Linked DNA regions of Danio rerio. The protein of the gene in region 3 purifies or fractionates together with the protein of the main gene of each other region. This does not show direct contact. Links are inferred from orthologs where the notes say so. Each region holds a gene or a part of one and is shown on either strand. Other genes may lie near its edges. The genes, in order: fam241a, ubr2, nrp1a and bcs1l.

Evidence for each region.
Region 1: the proteins of nrp1a (region 3) and fam241a purify together in Homo sapiens (affinity purification with mass spectrometry; 3 studies listed by BioGRID and IntAct, with this or other methods). This does not show direct contact. The link is inferred for Danio rerio from reciprocal best matches to the Homo sapiens genes NRP1 and FAM241A.
Region 2: the proteins of nrp1a (region 3) and ubr2 purify together in Homo sapiens (affinity purification with mass spectrometry; 3 studies listed by BioGRID and IntAct, counting the BioPlex papers as one, with this or other methods). This does not show direct contact. The link is inferred for Danio rerio from reciprocal best matches to the Homo sapiens genes NRP1 and UBR2.
Region 4: the proteins of nrp1a (region 3) and bcs1l purify together in Homo sapiens (affinity purification with mass spectrometry; 3 studies listed by BioGRID and IntAct, counting the BioPlex papers as one, with this or other methods). This does not show direct contact. The link is inferred for Danio rerio from reciprocal best matches to the Homo sapiens genes NRP1 and BCS1L.

Annotation. Positions count from the first base shown.
Region 1 is NC_133188.1:13,066,985-13,072,633, forward strand, and holds fam241a (uncharacterized protein FAM241A), read right to left. Parts: upstream 3,754-5,649; 5' UTR 3,644-3,753; coding exon 3,512-3,643; intron 3,122-3,511; coding exon 2,840-3,121; 3' UTR 1,418-2,839; downstream 1-1,417.
Region 2 is NC_133188.1:3,259,919-3,265,444, forward strand, and holds the start of ubr2 (E3 ubiquitin-protein ligase UBR2), read right to left. Parts: upstream 3,453-5,526; 5' UTR 3,449-3,452; coding exon 3,365-3,448; intron 779-3,364; coding exon 519-778; intron 1-518. UniProt on the Homo sapiens protein: E3 ubiquitin-protein ligase which is a component of the N-end rule pathway.
Region 3 is NC_133199.1:1,253,117-1,256,726, forward strand, and holds the end of nrp1a (neuropilin-1a isoform 1 precursor), read right to left. Parts: intron 2,480-3,610; coding exon 2,193-2,479; 3' UTR 1,451-2,192; downstream 1-1,450. UniProt on the Homo sapiens protein: Cell-surface receptor involved in the development of the cardiovascular system, in angiogenesis, in the formation of certain neuronal circuits and in organogenesis outside the nervous system. Mediates the chemorepulsant activity of semaphorins.
Region 4 is NC_133184.1:40,117,395-40,121,149, forward strand, and holds the end of bcs1l (mitochondrial chaperone BCS1), read left to right. Parts: intron 1-554; coding exon 555-727; intron 728-826; coding exon 827-944; intron 945-2,230; coding exon 2,231-2,483; 3' UTR 2,484-2,578; downstream 2,579-3,755. UniProt on the Homo sapiens protein: Chaperone necessary for the incorporation of Rieske iron-sulfur protein UQCRFS1 into the mitochondrial respiratory chain complex III.

The DNA.
Region 1 (5,649 bases), on a different chromosome or scaffold from region 3:
GTTATCAAGTGTGCATTGTGAATAGATGTATAGATATAAATATTATGACTACATCGTAAAATAGAAAAGGACAAAGCTGCTCACTTTTGTTCTCCTTTTTTGCTCTTTCATTCTCTCTGCACACATTGTTTTCTGTATGTGTGTGTGTGTATACATACATATATATACATATATATATAAACATATACATATATACATATACATATATATACATCTACATATATTTATTTATATATATAATATATTTATATTTTGCCTTTAAGTGACAAAGCACTTTAAACATTTGTCAATATTAAGTCTTTAAATCACATAAAATCTATTCAAATTTACCATTATCACAAATTATTAAGTATAATCTAAGCCCAGGTCAGAATAGGTTGTGAAACGACAGCAGATTTCGACATTTTATATTCACAAATGTTATGGAAAACATCGACATAGACACTTTCATTTAATTTGTGGATGGAGACTCAGTGGTTAGCACTGTCGCCCCACAGTAAGAAGGTCACTTGTTCGAGCCCCTGGGCCAGTTGGCATTTCTGTGTGAAGTTTGATTGTTTTCCTTGTGTTCGTGTAGGTTTTAGGTTTCTTCCGGGTGCTCCTGTTTCCCACACAGACATGCAGGCACTTGGAAGGGCATCTGCTGTGTAAAACATATGCAGGATAAGTTGGCGGTTCATTCCGCTGTGGCAACAAAGCCGAATGAAAATGGAATGAATGAATGATTAGTGGATTTCTACAAGGAAAAAGGCAACTGCAATTATTTTAAAGCATGATTGTTTTTATTATGATAACCCAGGTTTTTAGTTGAATTACATTGCAGAATGATTTATAATGTATAAAAAAAACAACTCAATTAAAATAATTTAATCAATACAAGTATCCCTCATTAAACCCACCACCAGCAAATAAAAAATTGTGGCAAATACGTTGGTAAAATGAAAAGTACAGCACATGAGATGCAGATGAACACTGAAAAGAATCACATCAAATCAAAAGTTGGCATCATGTCAGCAATTATGTCACATTACAAACAAAGTAGTTTTTCTCAAAATCTGTACCAAAAAATAATCAAAATCAAATATGATTTTCATGAGTATGACATCATCTTGCAAAAATATTCACAGTTACATAAACAGCAGGTAATTAACCGTGCTTAAAAAGTTAAATCATTTAATAATAATCAAATGTAGTATTTCAAAAAGCATTAAGTGCTATTAAAACAGCCTTTATATATTTCTGATTCTGAATATCCTACAAAACAAACTGTTTCAAGATATTTCTACTAAATATGTTGTATTTATGAAATCATCATTTGATTTCATTAATATTCATATTGCATTATTTCTTTAACAGACAGCATAAGCAGATTGAAAAGAGATAGTTCACCCCAAAATTACAATTCTTAGTTTCTTTATGATGATAGAGAGAATTTTGATGGATGTTGGAAAGCAGCAGGCATTGATATTCATAGTGTGTGCACAATATATGAAAATTATCATTATAACGATAATAGTATATGCAATGATTTTGTTTTACTACTGCTAACCGTTTAAAACAGGGGTGTCCGAACTTAGTCCTGGAAAGCCAGTGTCCTGCAGAGTTTAGTTCCAACCTCAATCAGACACACCTGGGCTAGATGATCAAGCTGTTACTAGGCTTTCCAGAAACATCTGTACAGGTGTGTTGAGGCAAATTGGAGCTAAAATCTGCAGGACACCGGCCCTCCAAGACTGAGTCTGGACATCCCTGGAACAAAACATTCTTCAAAATATCATCTTTTGTATACAACAGAAAAAAAAAGGTTTGGTACCAGTAAATGCTCAGTCCATTTTTAATTTAGGGTGAACTGTCCCTTTAAGAAACATCAGTTAATAAACAAATCCAAAAATACAGTGCATAACGTAGATCTTTTTCATGATAGGTTTGGTTTTAATACAGATTCCTCCTCTGCTCAGACTCTTGGAGAACTGTATTTAATTCAAACTGTCAGACGAAGTCCAAAAATACCCCAGCAGCCCCAGAACATTCACATGCAGTAGTATTAACACATTCAAGTTTTAACTCAGAATAATTATTCATCCCTGTTAGATTTCCTAACACATCTTAAAAGGGATAGTTCACCCAAAAATGAAAATCGACTCACTATTTAATCACCCTCAAGTTATTTTAAAGCTTTGTGAGTTTCTTTGTGCTACCAAACACTAAAGAAGATATTTTAAAGAAAGCTGAAAACCTGTAACCATTGACTTCCATAGTATTTATTTTTTCTACTTTGGAAGTCAATGGTTACCAGTTTCCAGTCTTTTTTATCTTCTTTAGTGTTTAAGTGAGTAAATGACAAAATCATTTTCAGTTTCGGATGAACTATCTCTTTTATAAAGAATGAGGAAGGTTGCCCTCTAGTGCAATTGCGTAGAGAAAACAGGACTGAAACCTGGGAACACATCAGCAATACATTCAACAAGGATACCACTTTCATTTCAAATGACTGTCAAGCTGATATGTACAACCAGTTATAATAAAGCTCTTCAACCTGTACAGGTTACGACAGTCATCCTATCTCTATGCACCAATCAGGAGTGAAGGGAAGCATGCTTTTCACAAATGCCTTATGCATGAAAGCGCATAGACTGGTGGAATCATTCTAGCAATTAAAGTAAATCCTCTGATTATCTTCAATAATTCACCTTCTTGAATATATACCCACATTACAAGAAAGCAAACAACACCCGCGTAAACGGAGTTGTGGAGCTTGTCGTTTACAGAAAGGAGTCTCAATCTCCTCTCTACTGGCTGTAAGTGGCAAAACTGTCCTTCATCTGTATATTCTCGTCTGCTATTTCTGGATGTAAATGATAATGATGCACAGAGTTCCCACGAGGCCAAGCGCTTGGATACCAAGGAACCACAAAAGCAACCAAAACACCAGCACGACCACCGGCTCCACAATCTTCTCTCCGAAGTAGAGCTGGGTGAATCCAAGACCCCTCAAACACTTGTTGAGCTCCCCGAACAAAGTGCCCATCTTCTCACAGTCATCCACCTGTGGGGCCTCCGGTTCAGCTGGTTCCTGCGATGGCTCAGCATTGTGTGGTCTATCTCTTCCCCTGGGGTCATTCTGAGCGCAATGACAGAGTAATTATACAGTAATTATACAGGGTGTAAAACACTGACACCATTTGAGTGTCTGTGGGAGTGTGTTTATGTTTGTAATATGTACTGTCGCTATATATAGCAAGGCAAAAAAAAAAAAACAGGTTGGTATACTTGGGTTTCGTCATTTCGTTATGTTGAGGCTTAACAGAACTCCTTATGTTATACCAAATGAATGTGACAACATTGCAAAACAGCTATTTATAGAGCTGTTGATACACAAGGGGAAGGCAGGGCTGTTTCTTAGTTACTGATAAAAAACAACAGACTATTCTAAAACTTTTAACTCGTAGTATACAAGTATAATTTAAAAAAAACAAGTCAGGTTGGTCGAGATGTACGTTAAGAGTCTTACCAGTTCTCTGTGTGTGTGTTTGACAGCGCGCTCATGCTGGTGTCGACACCCGCTCCGTTCTCGCGTCCCGGTTAAGAAGTCTCGATGATGACGTGTCTCCGCATCATTTACGATACGATTAGTATTTGACATATTAATGCTAAAAACAGAATGATTAATTTTGACCTGAGACGGGGCCGAAGGGCTGGGAAACAGATGGCTTGTTGGAGATACTTCCGGTGTTGGCTGTCAACAGACGGCGCAGCCTGACGTCACAAATCACGGTCAAAATAAGAGTTGTGGTGTTTTATTTACCTGTTTTTTTAAACCCCTGGCAACTAAGTTTATGCCTTTTGATTGTATACTGTTAATACAGTTTCAGTGGGTAAAAAGTGATATATTACAATTTTACGTCTACCTTATCTCCTTAAAAAAGTTTTTAAAAAATGCAAATTACAATAAAATAACATATATATGTACATATATATTCACATTGCGTCCTTAAAAAGTAACTAACACATTTAGTTACGTTTTTAAATGACTACAGATTGCCATATATTACTTTTTTCCCAACACTGAGTTGCACTCATTTAAAAAAAAAAATTTTTTTAGATGTAAATACATTTTACAGTTTGTGGTTTGCGGTAAGTTTGTACAACTTACATAATAAAGGGGGAAAGTTGTCATTGCATGTCGTGTCATGTGAACGTTACAATAATCTTTAAATTTAGAGAAAAACAAAAACACGTGCATTAAGAATAGATGGGTGTTAGAATAAGCATGAACAAAAACATTTCCTTCTTTTAATATAGTTTAATATAATTATTAACTTACACATAGGCTGTAGATCTATATACAGTTATAGAAGTGCAAAGGCTGTGTTTTAAAAATTTAGTAACACGTGGGGGCGTATTTCTGCGAGTCGATTCTTTTGAACTTTTCCATTTAAAAGATTCAGCTGCCTTTTTTGTCAAATCTGGAAACACATTTTGGTTTGTCGCGCTCAAAAAAGTCTTTAAACCAATTTTAATCGTCAAATTAATATTTAATTCTATTCATTATGTTATTGATTGATAAATTGCCTGTGTTCACAAACCATGTTTTCCAGTGTTTGATCATGTGTGTGCTGTGCTTTCATTCATTTTCTTGTCGGCTTCCTTTATTAATCCAGGGTCGCCACAGCGGAATGAACCGCCAACTTATTCAGCTGGTTTTTACGCAGCGGATGCCCTTCCAGCCGCAACCCATCCCTGGGAAACATCCACACACACATTCACACACACACTCATACACTACGGACAATTTAGCCTACCCAATTCACCTGTACTAAACTGTGGGGGAAACTAGAGCACCTTGAGGAAACCCATGCGAACGTAGGGAGAACATGCAAACTCCACACAGAAACACCAACTGAGCCGAGGATCAAACCAGCGACCTTCTTGCTGTGAGGCAACAGCACTACCTACTGCGCCACTGTTACCTGTGCTTTCATTAATCTGTTATTAATATTACAAAAATCAAAGGTGAATAAAATGATAACAAGATCATTACATTTCTTCCTAAATGCCCTGTTAAAGGAAAATTCATAGCAGTCAAAATTATTGAATGCGACAATATGGGACATTGAGTTTAAAGTAAATTAACTTTGTATAATAGCAGATACAGGCGTTATGGGTTTTACCCTAGTATTTTTTTATTGCTGGTTTTCTGGAAGCTCCAGTAAAGGGCATCAAGAATTTAGCTACCAATTAATGGCCTAAACATGTATCAGCCTGGACAGACATCTACCAGTTCTGCTACAGCACATCAATCTCTGCTTGTATGGATGCTACTGTGTTCTCTGAAGGTATTACTAGAGCAAAACAACTGCACCTGTAACAGGGAAAATTGTTTTTGTAAAGAATAAAAAGGTATTTTAAAATTTTTTTTATTTTATTTTGATCGTTCAAACTACTTTTTTAAAATGAGCTGAAACAACACAATTCTTGAGATTTCATTGGGACAACAATTTTTTTTATGTTCAATCCATATAAATTTGTTAAAAGTGTTAAGTTTATTTATATGAGGTGCCGTGTAGAGTTTAAATTTAACTTTGCTTATCAACACATACATAAAACGGCACCTCATATACTTAATCAATTTGTGTTGGGACAACGTGA
Region 2 (5,526 bases), on a different chromosome or scaffold from region 3:
GTGATTGGTCGGCTTGGTAGCGCTGACAAGTGTGGGCAGGAGCCACGCAAGCCCTATGGAGCGTTTGTTTACAAGTGTGGAGTCCCATGAAGGAGCTTCGGATGGAAAGTTTTGTATTGTGTTTACCTCATGGTTAAAGTTGTTGCACGTCCGCCGATTCCGAATGAGAGATTTCAGCTGCTGTCTGGGCTTTCACTGCTTCTCTACGCCTCCCTTTCTTCATGTGTTCCAATACTTTTGCCTTGCAACATTTCATTTTATTACACATAACTTCTAAATTAATTTGTTTTCTTTGCATATCTGTAATTATTTGGATGCTTCCAACATCTGGTGAAAATTTCAAGTCAATGGCACCTTTAGAAATGATTTCTGAGAAAAATGATGACGTGTTCAATACTGATTTTCCCTCCAAATGACCCCTTCAAACATTGATGCATGTTAATTTCAAGCCCTCCAAATGACCCCTTCAAACATTGATGCATGTTAATTTCAAGCCCTGTGCGATATTGACACTGTACCTGCAGGAGTATGTTGGCTCTCCCACTTTAAACACATGGCCACAAAGTTGTGACGGCTGGTTGTTCTGTTCGAGTTTGGACAAGCCCACGGACGGCTCTTCCCCACAGAGATACCACTCCAGCGGGCCCTGAAGCAGCAGCTGAGCGAGCAGGTCCTCGTTCTGAGGGTTGAGGTTGGGACCCAGGCAGTAGATCTTGGGGACATAGCAGGCCAAGTGCTGGTACACCTCTTTGGGTAGGTTGCTCACCTGTAGCCATTTCTGTGAAAAGATGGGTAAATTAAACGTTTTTAATATGAGAAAAATTGCACTTTACATTAAAGGGGACCTATTATGCCCATTTTTACAACATGTAATATATGTTTCTGGTGTCCCTAGAGTGTGTATGTGAAGTTTCAGCTCAAAATGCCACACAAATAATGTTTTATAACTCTTTGAAACAGACCATTTTAGGCTTTGATCCTAATTGTGCTGTTTTGGTGATTGTTGCTTTTAATTCAAATAAGATTATGCTCTTTTCAAAAGAGGGCGGAGCTACAAATGCCTGTGCATCAGCATAATGGCAGATTCAGAAGCAAGACTAACGTCCTTTGCTAATGAGGGATGGTCACTAGTGGGTGGGGCTTTCCCATTCTGATGACACGTACAAAGGGAGAATGTCAATCAAAGTGTTTCTGACTGCTTTGATCAAGTGTGAATATAAAATATTTAATTAATAGATTTTTTCCATTATAAGTTGGAACATTTAACATTACTGAAAAAGTTAACCCCCTGATCGTCAATGTATAATTTGCACCCTGATTGCAATAATACCACAGAAAAACAAAATATCACATTTTCAGATTTTTCCAATATTGTGCCACCCGAATATATATATATATATATATATATATATATATATATAAATATATATATATATATATATATATATATATATATATTCCAATTCCATGCAAATGTCAACCTTGCCATGAAAAGAATTAAGTTTTCACCAAAATATGGAAGTTTTTTGTGTAGGTTTGTATTTTACAGTACTTTAGAAATACTTCAAAATGACTGTCAATGTTTTCAAACTATTATGTTTGAATTACTAAAGCCACACAAATGGAATTTACACATCCGTCACTTCCATAACGAAGAAGTGTCACATCCATAACGACACTTTTTCCTCATAAATACAAAACTGTAAAATAAAATAAAACCAGTCATGTTTGTTTTATAGAGATCCAACTCTTCTCCTTTTGATTAGCAATATTTCTTTTGGGTTGTGCAGTTTAATTCACAGAACTTCTACAAAATATGTACAAAGTATACTGTAAACTTGCAAGCTTTTTTGGTCACATCCATAACACTTTACTTTCCTTATTTAAAGTATAAAATTTACAGATTGATTTTTTTTTTATCCCATAACTCTGTGGTTAGTTGTCCTGGAAAATATCAACAGTTATTTCAAAATAATGTTAAATTATACTTTCTATGTGAATTTATGTTTTGAATTTTTACTGCCAATGTCACATCCTTAATGCTGGAATAGCTCATATATACTCATTCATATATATATATATATATATATATATATATATATATATATATATATATATATATATATATATATTCATTCAAATATATATATATATAATTTTATTTGTTTTAATAAAGTGACAAATTGACTGTGCATTTCATATACTATAGAAAAATAATCCGATGCAAATACAGACTCTGATTTAGAAACTATTGTTTTGGTTTTTTTGCAATTGTTTTGAAGGAAATACTGTAAGAACCTAGCTAGTCTCCATTGTCTACAGTTAATGTGTTTGTTGTGCCAGAAACACATGCTGTAAAGGAAACACAGAGATTACGTATACAGCACAAGCAGAACTTGGCAGTCTCAATGACTGTCTACATCGACCTACTAACCTGGATTTAGGACTTGAGAGAATACAGTTAAACAAACCAGATACAGACAATTGACCAAGTGCTTTTGAGATTGTTCAAAAGAGATTTTAATCTCATCAATATAGAACTCCTTGTGATGTAGGTCCACGTTTTGTATGCACATGGTGATGAAAAAAAGTGCAAAATAACCAGGACATGTACTGTTATCGTTCAGTTCATCACACAACACAACCGCAGTGAATTGAGGTCTTGTGGTTCAGACAACCGCCACCTGAATTACTTTGTCAAAACAAACCTACTTTTTTATATGATACACGTGGCATGGAAATGTTGTGGGTAAATCAATTTACAAATGAAAAGAAAAACAAGCATAGCTGGAATATCAAACTAATGTTTAGTTTGCAAACCCATAACGTTCTACAGCACCTGCTGAAGGAAACCAGAAAAACAGCTCATATTACCATTATCACAAAAATGCTAAATATATATATATATATATATTTTAACTATTTATTTGTATAAACCAATTCAAAGCGACTGTCAAACTGTGTTAATAACAGGATAAACATAATGACGTATAGATGATGAACAAAGCAGCCAATGTTGTTTTTCCAACTCTTGACAGATCCTTTTAAAATATCACTGACACCAAAACCATACGCTAAACCCGAAAAATCACTAAATAAAAAAATATATATACTAAATCCATATTTATAAACTGATAATGTGTGCAAACGGCGTGTCAGATGTGCGTTTTTTTAGGCTGAGGTGTGAAAATCTCACAGGCTAGCGTTAGCTGTTAGCGCGCTAGCAGGAACAACTGAGCAAAACAAGATGAGGAGCGAGAAAAAAAACTGACAATTCATCGCCAACGTGTTGATTTTTGCAACCAAACACAAACAGATCGCCAGTAGAGAAATTTTGCGTAGTGTTCATAAAACTGTCGCCTACCGCAGCGGTGTCCTTAGCGGAGAAATTGAGGAATTCGCTACACAGAGCGGACGGTGCATCACGATCGGTCTCGGCCGCCGCCATCTTTACTTCAGTGGCCACCAGCAAACCAGCAGGAGCAACAGCAGTGAAGGAAGCGGAAATCAGCCGCTCGCCCTTCTTCCGTCAAGGAGCTGGCAAAACTTTTCAGCTGACTAATGGAAAAGTGTCGCTGTTGTTGCCACGGTGACGGTGCACAAAAACAGCCGCTCCCTCCTCACGTGTGGTTTACAAGTACATCTGCAAACTGTGAATTGATTAAAAGTTGTCTTTCCAAACTTTGTAGCTAATGTGTTGTCATTTTACTAGTAAACACCACTGAGGTGAAGTTTTATATTCGCACATATAGTCAGTGACAACTTGTGATATCCTCACTATACTGCTTACCATGGTACATTGGATAGCAATCACATATATGACTTCAAAACAACCCCATTTGACTGTGGACTTTGATAGTTATTTGGCATTGAGGTAAATTTGGTTTTATATTTGGCTCATTCTAACTTTCTCCTTAATAAAAGCATTTCAGAAAAGTCTTATTTACTTATTCTAAATAGGGAAATCATATTAGTAGCCGTGACTATCAAAGTATAACATTGTTCACAGTCAGTTAAACAGAGCTTGATTTGAAGTCATACATGCTTCAGACCGAATATTCAAAGTAGCGTGGTAGCTAAACAATAGAGACCATGTCACAAGTTGTTACTGAATGTGTGAATATAAACCAACTTCATGTCATTGGCTGCAGTGTGCTAATATGATTTGCCCATTTAGAATTACCAAAGTTGCCTAAAATTATATTATTATGGAGAAGGTCTGAGTGAGTGAATATAAAACAGGCTTTACCTCAACGTAAACACCCACTGGAACGGTTTTTGGAAGGATTTTGGGACTGCGAAGACTAATGTAACCCTGGACCACAAAACCAATAGGCTACTTGTCCATTTTTTGGAAATGTTTGTTAACCATATAAGCTGAAAGCTGAATAAATAAGATTTCTATTGATATGTGGAAAAATGGTGTTCATGACTTGAAAGCTGTTCTAAAATCTTACGGGAAAAAAAATAGGCTTTTTGGAAGGATTGTGTGACTGCAAAGACCGAAGATGAAAATTCTTGTAACCCTGGACCACAAAACCAATCATAAGTCTATTTTTTATTTATTTATTTGAGTTTACTACATAATCTGAAAGCTGAATAAATAAGATTTCTATTGATATGTGATTTTATGACAATATTTGACAGGGAAACAACTATTTTAAAACCGGTAATCTGAGGGTTAACATATTGGCAAACGTTTGCAAAACTAGCTTTACCTCAATGTAAACACCCCTCAAAAATGGTGTTTATGACTTGAAAGCTGTTCTAAAATCTTCGAAAAAGATATATCATGTTGACATTTATAATAAAATAAATGTTTATTGAGCATGAAACCCGATTGGGAGGAGTTATGGAAGGATGGTGTGACTGAGAAGACTAGAGTAATGATGAAAATTGTGATCCTGGTCCACAAAACCAGTTAGTGTCCTTTTTTTTTTTTTTTTTGGAAATTTGAGTACATAATCTGGAAGCTGAATAAATAGCATTTATTTATATATTGTTATGATAGGACACTATTTGACAGAGAAACAACTATGTAAAAACCTGTAATCTGAGGGTTAAAAAAATCTTAACAAAATAAATAATAATGATAATATGATAAAAAAAACAATAATAATAATAGTCTGTGAAAGTATGAATGTGCGAACCAACCAATAAGGTAGTTTGTTGAGTTCAAAATTAGATCCTATTATAATTAAACATGTTAATAATTAGGAAAAATACACAGCAGAAAACAATTAAAGTAACTTGAAACAATGCATAAATTAATTAGAAAACAAATAATATTGTAGGGCCTATGTCACACAATCATGTGTGAATTGATGCTCAAATGTATATTCCAAGCCTTGCTTGCTATATTAATCCAGCTATCACAGGGGTGTCCAAACTCGGTCCTGGAGGGCCAGTGTCCTGCAAAGTTTAATTCCAACTCCAAACAGACACACCTAGGCTAGCTATTTAAGCTCTTACTAGGCTTTCTAGAAGCATCCATGCAGGTTTGTTGAGGCAAGTTGGATGACTGAG
Region 3 (3,610 bases):
CACTACTCTACAACATTTCGTAGTGTAAATAGTGTACGTAGTGCGTTCACACTGAACACTCTTAAAGGAATAGGTGCAAAACCCGGATGATGCGCTTCTTCAATGTTTAAATACCAGGATAATGCACTTATTGGACACTTCACACACTCAACGGCTGCTGGATTGCTCACCCAGCGGAAGAGCACTGATGTTGGATTACTTTATTTTGGATTGTGAAAGCCGTATTCTCCTACGAGAGTGATTAAAGCGCCTCCCGATGGTGAATGCGGTTATACTCATGACAGGTATTAATTGTTAGTTTGCTAATTTGTTTTGTTAATTAAACCGTCAAACGTCATCTGGGAAACAGTTTGAATTTCCGCTTAGTAAAAAACAGTAGTGGTCTACTTGGGACGACCCCACATACATATACTTTGCTGTTGAGTGTGTAAGTGCATAGTGTGCCATTTGGGACACAGCACTTGACTATTTTGTGTACTTGATTCAATCTGTTTCGGTAATTCAGCATTCATTATCAAATACTATAATATATACACTCACCGGCCACTTTATTAGGTACACCTTACTCGTACCGGGTTGGACACCTTCAGATTTGCCTTAATCCTTTGTGGCATAGATTCAAGAAGTTACTGGGAATATTCCTCAGAGATATACACTCCCTTTCCTCCACATCACAATGGTGCTCAATTGGATTGAGCTCTGGTGACTGTGGAGGCCATTTGAGTAAATTTCCTCTTTTTCAGACCATTGTAAACCCTAGAGATGGTTGTGCATGAAAATCCCAGTAGAGCAGCAGTTTCTGAAATACTCACAGCAGCCTGTCTGGCAGCAATAACCATGCCACGTCACTTAAATCCCCTTTCTTCCTCATTCTGATGCTTGCTTTGAACTGCAGCACATCGTCTTGACCCTGCCTAAATGCACTGAGTTGCTGCCATGTGATTGGCTGATTAGAAATTGCATTAACAAGCAGTTGGACAGGTGTACCTAATAAAGTGGCCGGTGAGTGTATAGTATAATACGCTTTACTATTGGATCCTTGCTCAAAAACACTACAGTATTTACTATAAATTACTATATTATTTTTTTTCACGTGGGGTGTGAGAGACGCACTCTTAAAAATAAAGAGTGAGAGAACATTAAGGATTATTTGTGTCTTCATATGAAGAGCATTTTAATAATCCAAAAATATTGTTTCTCCACTTTAACGGAATTGAACATCTGATGTGAAATGTTCTTCGCACAATAATCAATGTCTATTTCAGTGTAAGACGATGCTCAGCTTTATATGAGACAGCGGATCCTGTGATGGACTTCTGTTTTGAACAAGGGCTGCATCTTTTGGGAGCGTAGCAAAAAGAACCCAACAGGACGGAAAAAAAGCACACGTTTCACTCCACGAAACACTCAGACGATTGTATTTACAACATACAACCCAGGAAAAAAGGGATACTGCAGCTCTCTTTTTTGTCCTTTTACTTGTTTCTTTGAAAAGGGCATTAAAATATATTAAAACGTATGTACAATATGCATGATTTCGACATTAAAGCGCTATGAATTTCCCCGGGATTCGTTTTGCAGTTTCAGCCTTGTTTTGTTTTAAAGAACTAAAGGGTTGAGAACGCCATAAAACAACAGAGGAGGCCAAAAAAGATGTACCAAAGGCACTGACCGAACCATACCCAGAATGCAACAGGGCTGGATGATATTCCACCCCTTTGATCCTAATTACCTTCCCTTGGCCGTATATATGGTTCATTTGGGTTTTTTTGTTTGTTTTTGTTTACACATCTCCTTAAAGCGCAAAACAATCTCTTTTTTTAAAAATAAAAATAAATTCCTCCTAGAAAAGAAAGAAAAGATAAATACTTTATAACATTATTATATATTGGTCTCAACACCAGCATCCGATTGTAAAAATGATCAACCAAAAAATAATACAAAACAATAAAATAATAATTTCAATCATCTGTACATATTCGTGTGTTTTTTTTTCAATGTTTTGTACACAGTGTCCCCCTACTGGTGGGTTCTATTCACTGCAGCTCCTGAGAAAAGCATGGCTCAGTCCCAGTCCTCCTCCGATTGGTTCACTGAACCACAGAGCCTTGTCCTCCTCCAATCGGATGGCATCGGCAGTCCATGTAGCCCCGCCCCCCCTGAGGAGAGATTCCCTCTTATTGGTCGGCGCCTCACGCTTCCGAGTACGAGTTCTGTGAGTTGAGCTTGTCCTTCTTTAACTTGACGCCGTCCACCAGCTCAAAATTATAGTTCTCCAGGGCTGATAAGTTCCTGTCTGACATGCCGCTATGAGAGCAGGCGCAGTACAGCACCACGCCACAGATGGCGCCCAGGAAAACACCAAGCGCACTCATGGCGATGATAGTAATGAGGATGGGGTCCAGGGTTTTCAGCATGTTTCCAGCTCCGCCGATATCTGGGTTCTCCACGATATCTGGGAAATCGGTGATGTCCACCACTGCAAAACAGCAGGTACGACACATGTGAGGGTGTGTTACATTTAAAGACCGCATAAACCGGAAGTCGCAACCGTTTTGTGATGCAGTTCCAAGAGAAACGGAATATTAAATAGGAAAACAGTGGGCGTGGCTTGTTTTTTTCCACTGCGAGCGGATTGGATGTAGTGAAGTAGGCATTTCATTCAGAAAGATGGGGGAAAAGGTTTGGGGAGAGTTATTAAACCCTAACAGACTCCTCCTGCTCACCATTTCTGTTAGATGTCAAATCTGACAGCAGGAGGGGCGTGGCTAGGTATGTTAGCCACGCCCTATACCTCAGACAGATATAAAACAACAGGTACGACACATGTGAGAGTATGCTTTATGTAGAATATGATATCTTTAACACCAAGTCAAATTTGAGACCTTCTTTAGACAATTTTAAATGAACTTAAGACTTACATTAAGGATTTTTACTTGGCCCATTAAAAAAAATTGTAATTGCCTGCAGCTCGCTCTCTGCAACTCTCACATGCTCGCCCACTGAAGCTAAACAGGGCTGCACCCAGTCAGTAACTGGATGGGAGACCACATGGAAAGCTGGGTTGCTGTTGGAAGTTGTGTTAGTGAGGCCAACAGGGGGCGCCCAACCTGCGGTCCGTGTGGGTCCTAATGCCCCAGTATAGTGAAGGGGACACTATCCTGCTTAGTGAGTGCCGTTTTTCAGATGAGACATTAAACCGAGGTCCCGACTCTCTGTGGTCGTTAAAAATCCCAGGATGTCCTTTGAAAAGGAGTAGAGATTTAACCCTGGCATCCTGGCCAAATTTGCCCACTGGGCTCTGTCCATCATGGCCTTCTAACCATCCCCATATAAAAATTGGCTTCATCACTCAGTCTCCTCTCCACCAATCAGCTGGTGTGCGGTCTGGTGCAATATGGCCAGGTGGATGCTGCACACTGGTGGTGGATGAGAGGATCCCCCATCGTGTAAAGCGCTTAGAGTGTCTAGAAAAGCGCTTTATAAATGTAAGGAATTATTATTAATTACTTAAATAATACTTAAATGTGTTAATGTATCTGTGATGTCCAATGAAGACTGCAAAACAACAGATACGACACATGAGGAAAAGCTGTTACCTTTAAACCGT
Region 4 (3,755 bases), on a different chromosome or scaffold from region 3:
ATTTAATTAAAATCTAACCCTTTAAAATAACAAAGTACAATGGGTATATGCACAAAGATTTCTAATATTCAGTCAGCCCAATCGCTTCCAGTGAACTGTATTGCCATCACAAAATCGGCACGTTTAAGATCTGATTTCTTTAAAAAATCTGTGATCTTCACAGCCTGATTGATGTGCGATATAAAGTTGGTTTCAGACCAGATAAGAAGCGCTGAATTAAATTCCATTTCCCTGTCTTCAAAATATGAAAACGTATTTGACCCCAGTATTGAAGTTTCTACGCTAGCCTACTACTACTGACATCCCTAGCTTTTGCATGGTCTTTCATCTCATTTTATGCTTGAATAACAAAATAAATGCTTAAGTCTATTTAACTGATTGTATTTTAAGTACATTACAACATCCGTGCTGTAAAAGCAACCTTATGAAATTGAAAACAGTCACATTAACCTTTCACTGGAAGTTTATCGTTGGCTGAAAAACACTAGCTGTGCATATAGCTCATTCAGAGTTTCACATCTCTGTATACTTATTGTACTTTTTCTTCTTCTCAGAACTGCTCTGGCAGGTGAGCTGGGCTACAGCATCTGTCTGATGAGTCTGAGCGACCGCAGCCTGTCTGATGATCGCCTCAATCACCTGCTAAGCGTCGCTCCGCAGCAGAGCATCATCCTGCTGGAGGACGTAGATGCAGCCTTTGTCAGCCGCGAGCTGCTGCCCACCGAGAGTATGTCTTGCTGTTGTGCTTCTGAATATTCACAGCCTAACTATACTGTGATGAATCTTGATGACACAATATAATCTTCTTTCCATTTTTTTCTCACAGATCCACTGGCCTATCAAGGTATGGGACGGCTTACGTTTAGTGGGCTTCTGAATGCTCTGGATGGAGTGGCATCTTCAGAGGCCCGAATTGTCTTCATGACTACTAATTTCATTGAGAGGTAAGGCTTGTTTTTCCCCATGAAGATTTAGTTTTTTTTTTGGACTTTGGAATGTGAAATTGTGGCTATAATAGCACAAGGAATTGGAAGATTGGTGGTAATAAATTGTGTGTGTTACAGTGCAATGAAGGTCAGATCCTGGCAGATGTTTTAATATCCAAATGTTGTATAATTGTACTTATTATATTTAATAAACAAATATAATTATTTCATAGAATGAAAATCCAATTAAGTGTATATACGGATATTAAGTAAATAAAGGTTTATTTATGTAGCATTTTTCACAGACATTAAGTCACAAAAGGCTTTACAATAATGCCCGATTTACTCGGGCCTCAGCGTCAATGCTTGACGGAGGGCATGTCTGAAGTTAGGGCTGACGTGATCATCATAACAGCGTCAGCCAATAAAATTAGTCTGCAATCGGCTACTGTTTGAGCTAGGGGTATTTGCATAAAGCGATCTGATGAAAAGTAATGAAAAGTTGAGAAATTCCCAATTTCTGCAGCGAGCAACACTACTGATGCAGCACTGACGGATCTGCAATTCAGTTCGGCAACGCTTTATGTCACCCATTCAAAGCTAATGGGAAGTGCTGATGCTGATACCCCATGTGAATGGGCCGTTAAAGAAGTGTGGAAAGGGGTGTTTATTGTATTTTATTATTTTTATTTTAGAATATCCTGATATTCATTGTACTTTTGCATCCTAGATAATGTCATTTATATTCCCAACAAACATGCTTGCTTTAAACAATTGTACATAATAATCAGGTTTTGCTGACATTAAAAAAAATTGTTTAAAATATTTTTTTAGTCATCATTTATTAGTATATATTTAATATATTTAGTTTATGTTAAATAAGTCTGTATATATTTTTAAATATTTTTTGTTCCCTATTGCAAAATACATATTTTTTAATCTCTTAAAATAAATAATTTACACAATATTTCATTTATAAAGGATATTTTATGTGATCAAAAAAATTATGTTAGTGTAATCTTTTTTTTTAATTCAAACATAATAAATAAAACAAACATTAAATATTGTCAATTCATAAAATGTTTTTTTGGTCTTTATAACTGCTCAATTATTATCACACGATCACTCTTTTCTGTAGTCCAATCCTTACTTATTTTAAATAAATTAGTCCATTATTAATCATTAAAAACATTAATCATGAAGTACCCAGTGGTCAATAAGACTTGGGACTCTGAACAGTCTTTGGTATTAGTAAAATGGTATTGTTTCCTTCCCCTTCTCATTTTCTTCTCCTCGATGTGAAGACTCGATCCGGCTCTCGTCCGCCCCGGCCGTGTGGATCTGAAGCAGTATGTTGGCCACTGCTCGCACTGGCAGCTGACTCAGATGTTTCGGAGGTTTTACCCTCAGGAGTCTGCAGCCGAGGCAGATCACTTCTCTGAACAAGCACTGGCCGCTCACACAGATCTTAGCGCCGCTCAGGTACAAGGACACTTCATGCTCTACAAGACTGACCCAGCCGGGGCTATCAAAAACATTGCAGAGATTAAGGACTGAAGATTTTCATAGACTTTTGTTTGAAGAGCAGTCAAGAGCAACAGTTCTTGCTCACAAATTAATGCTCAAAAATTGGAGTAATAAAATAAGACTTGTGGAATATTTGTGTATTTTGCTTGGTTATTATGGCTGTATTTCGGAGGTTTGTTTTGTGTATATTGAATCATGCCTTATATGTGAGCGGGACATGCACTATCTGACAAAAGTCTTGTCCCTATCCAAGTTTTAGGAACAACAAATAATAACTGGACTAGTTGATCATTTGGTATTAGAAGTGGCTTAAATGAAAGGCAAAGGCCTCTAGATTACCCTTATTCTTATAGAATCTTGGGTCTATGTGGGTTTCAATAGGTCTTCTGCAGTATTTGTGATGCATTCCACAGATCATTCATCAGACAAATCTACCTTCTGCCACAAATAATCCACTAGAAGTCAAGTTATTATTTGTTGCTCCTACAACTGGGATCAATAACAAGACTTTTGTCAGGTAGAGATCTATTTTCCAAATTTTTTGCTTGTGATTAATATTCATACAATTATTAATGCTTTAAAATTCTAAACATTCAGAACATTTCTTTCTGAACAAGAGCATGTGGTTTTGTAACATTTTTTTGTTTGTTTTGAAGCCTTTTCCCTCCACCCTGTAGGAACTGGAGGAAAGGTGAATGTTAAAGGCAGAGTTCAGCCAGATTAAAAATTGCCTTTATTTTTATCGTCATCATGTCATTCAAAACCTGTACTTAGTATTATACCAGGAAAATAACAGAATGTTTACTATAACGTTCTCTGAAAGATTGAGAGCCACGGTCTGCATTTACATACAGCTTCACTCACTCTCAGAAATAAAGGTAAATGAGCTGTCACTGGGGTGGTACCTTTTCAAAATATACACATTTGTACTTAAAAGGTCCATATTGGTACTTTAAAAGTATATATTAGTACCAACAAAATTTAAGAGAAACACTTTTGTACTTTTTAGGTTCTAATATGTACCCTTGAGGCATTAATATGGACCTTTTAGGTACACATTTGTACTTTATGAAAAGGTACCACTCCAGTGACAGCTCGTGTACCTTTATTTCTGAGAGTGCTGTATGAAAAAGAGCAGAGAAATGGTGACTTGGAACGAATCAGACTTAGTATCTTCTGATTAAAGGCATAGTTCATCCAAAACTGAGAATTCCATCATTATTTACTTTCACTTGTCACCAACCTGTTTGATTTTCTTTCTTCTGTTAAACACAAAAGAAGATCTGCAAAAAAAAATCTGCA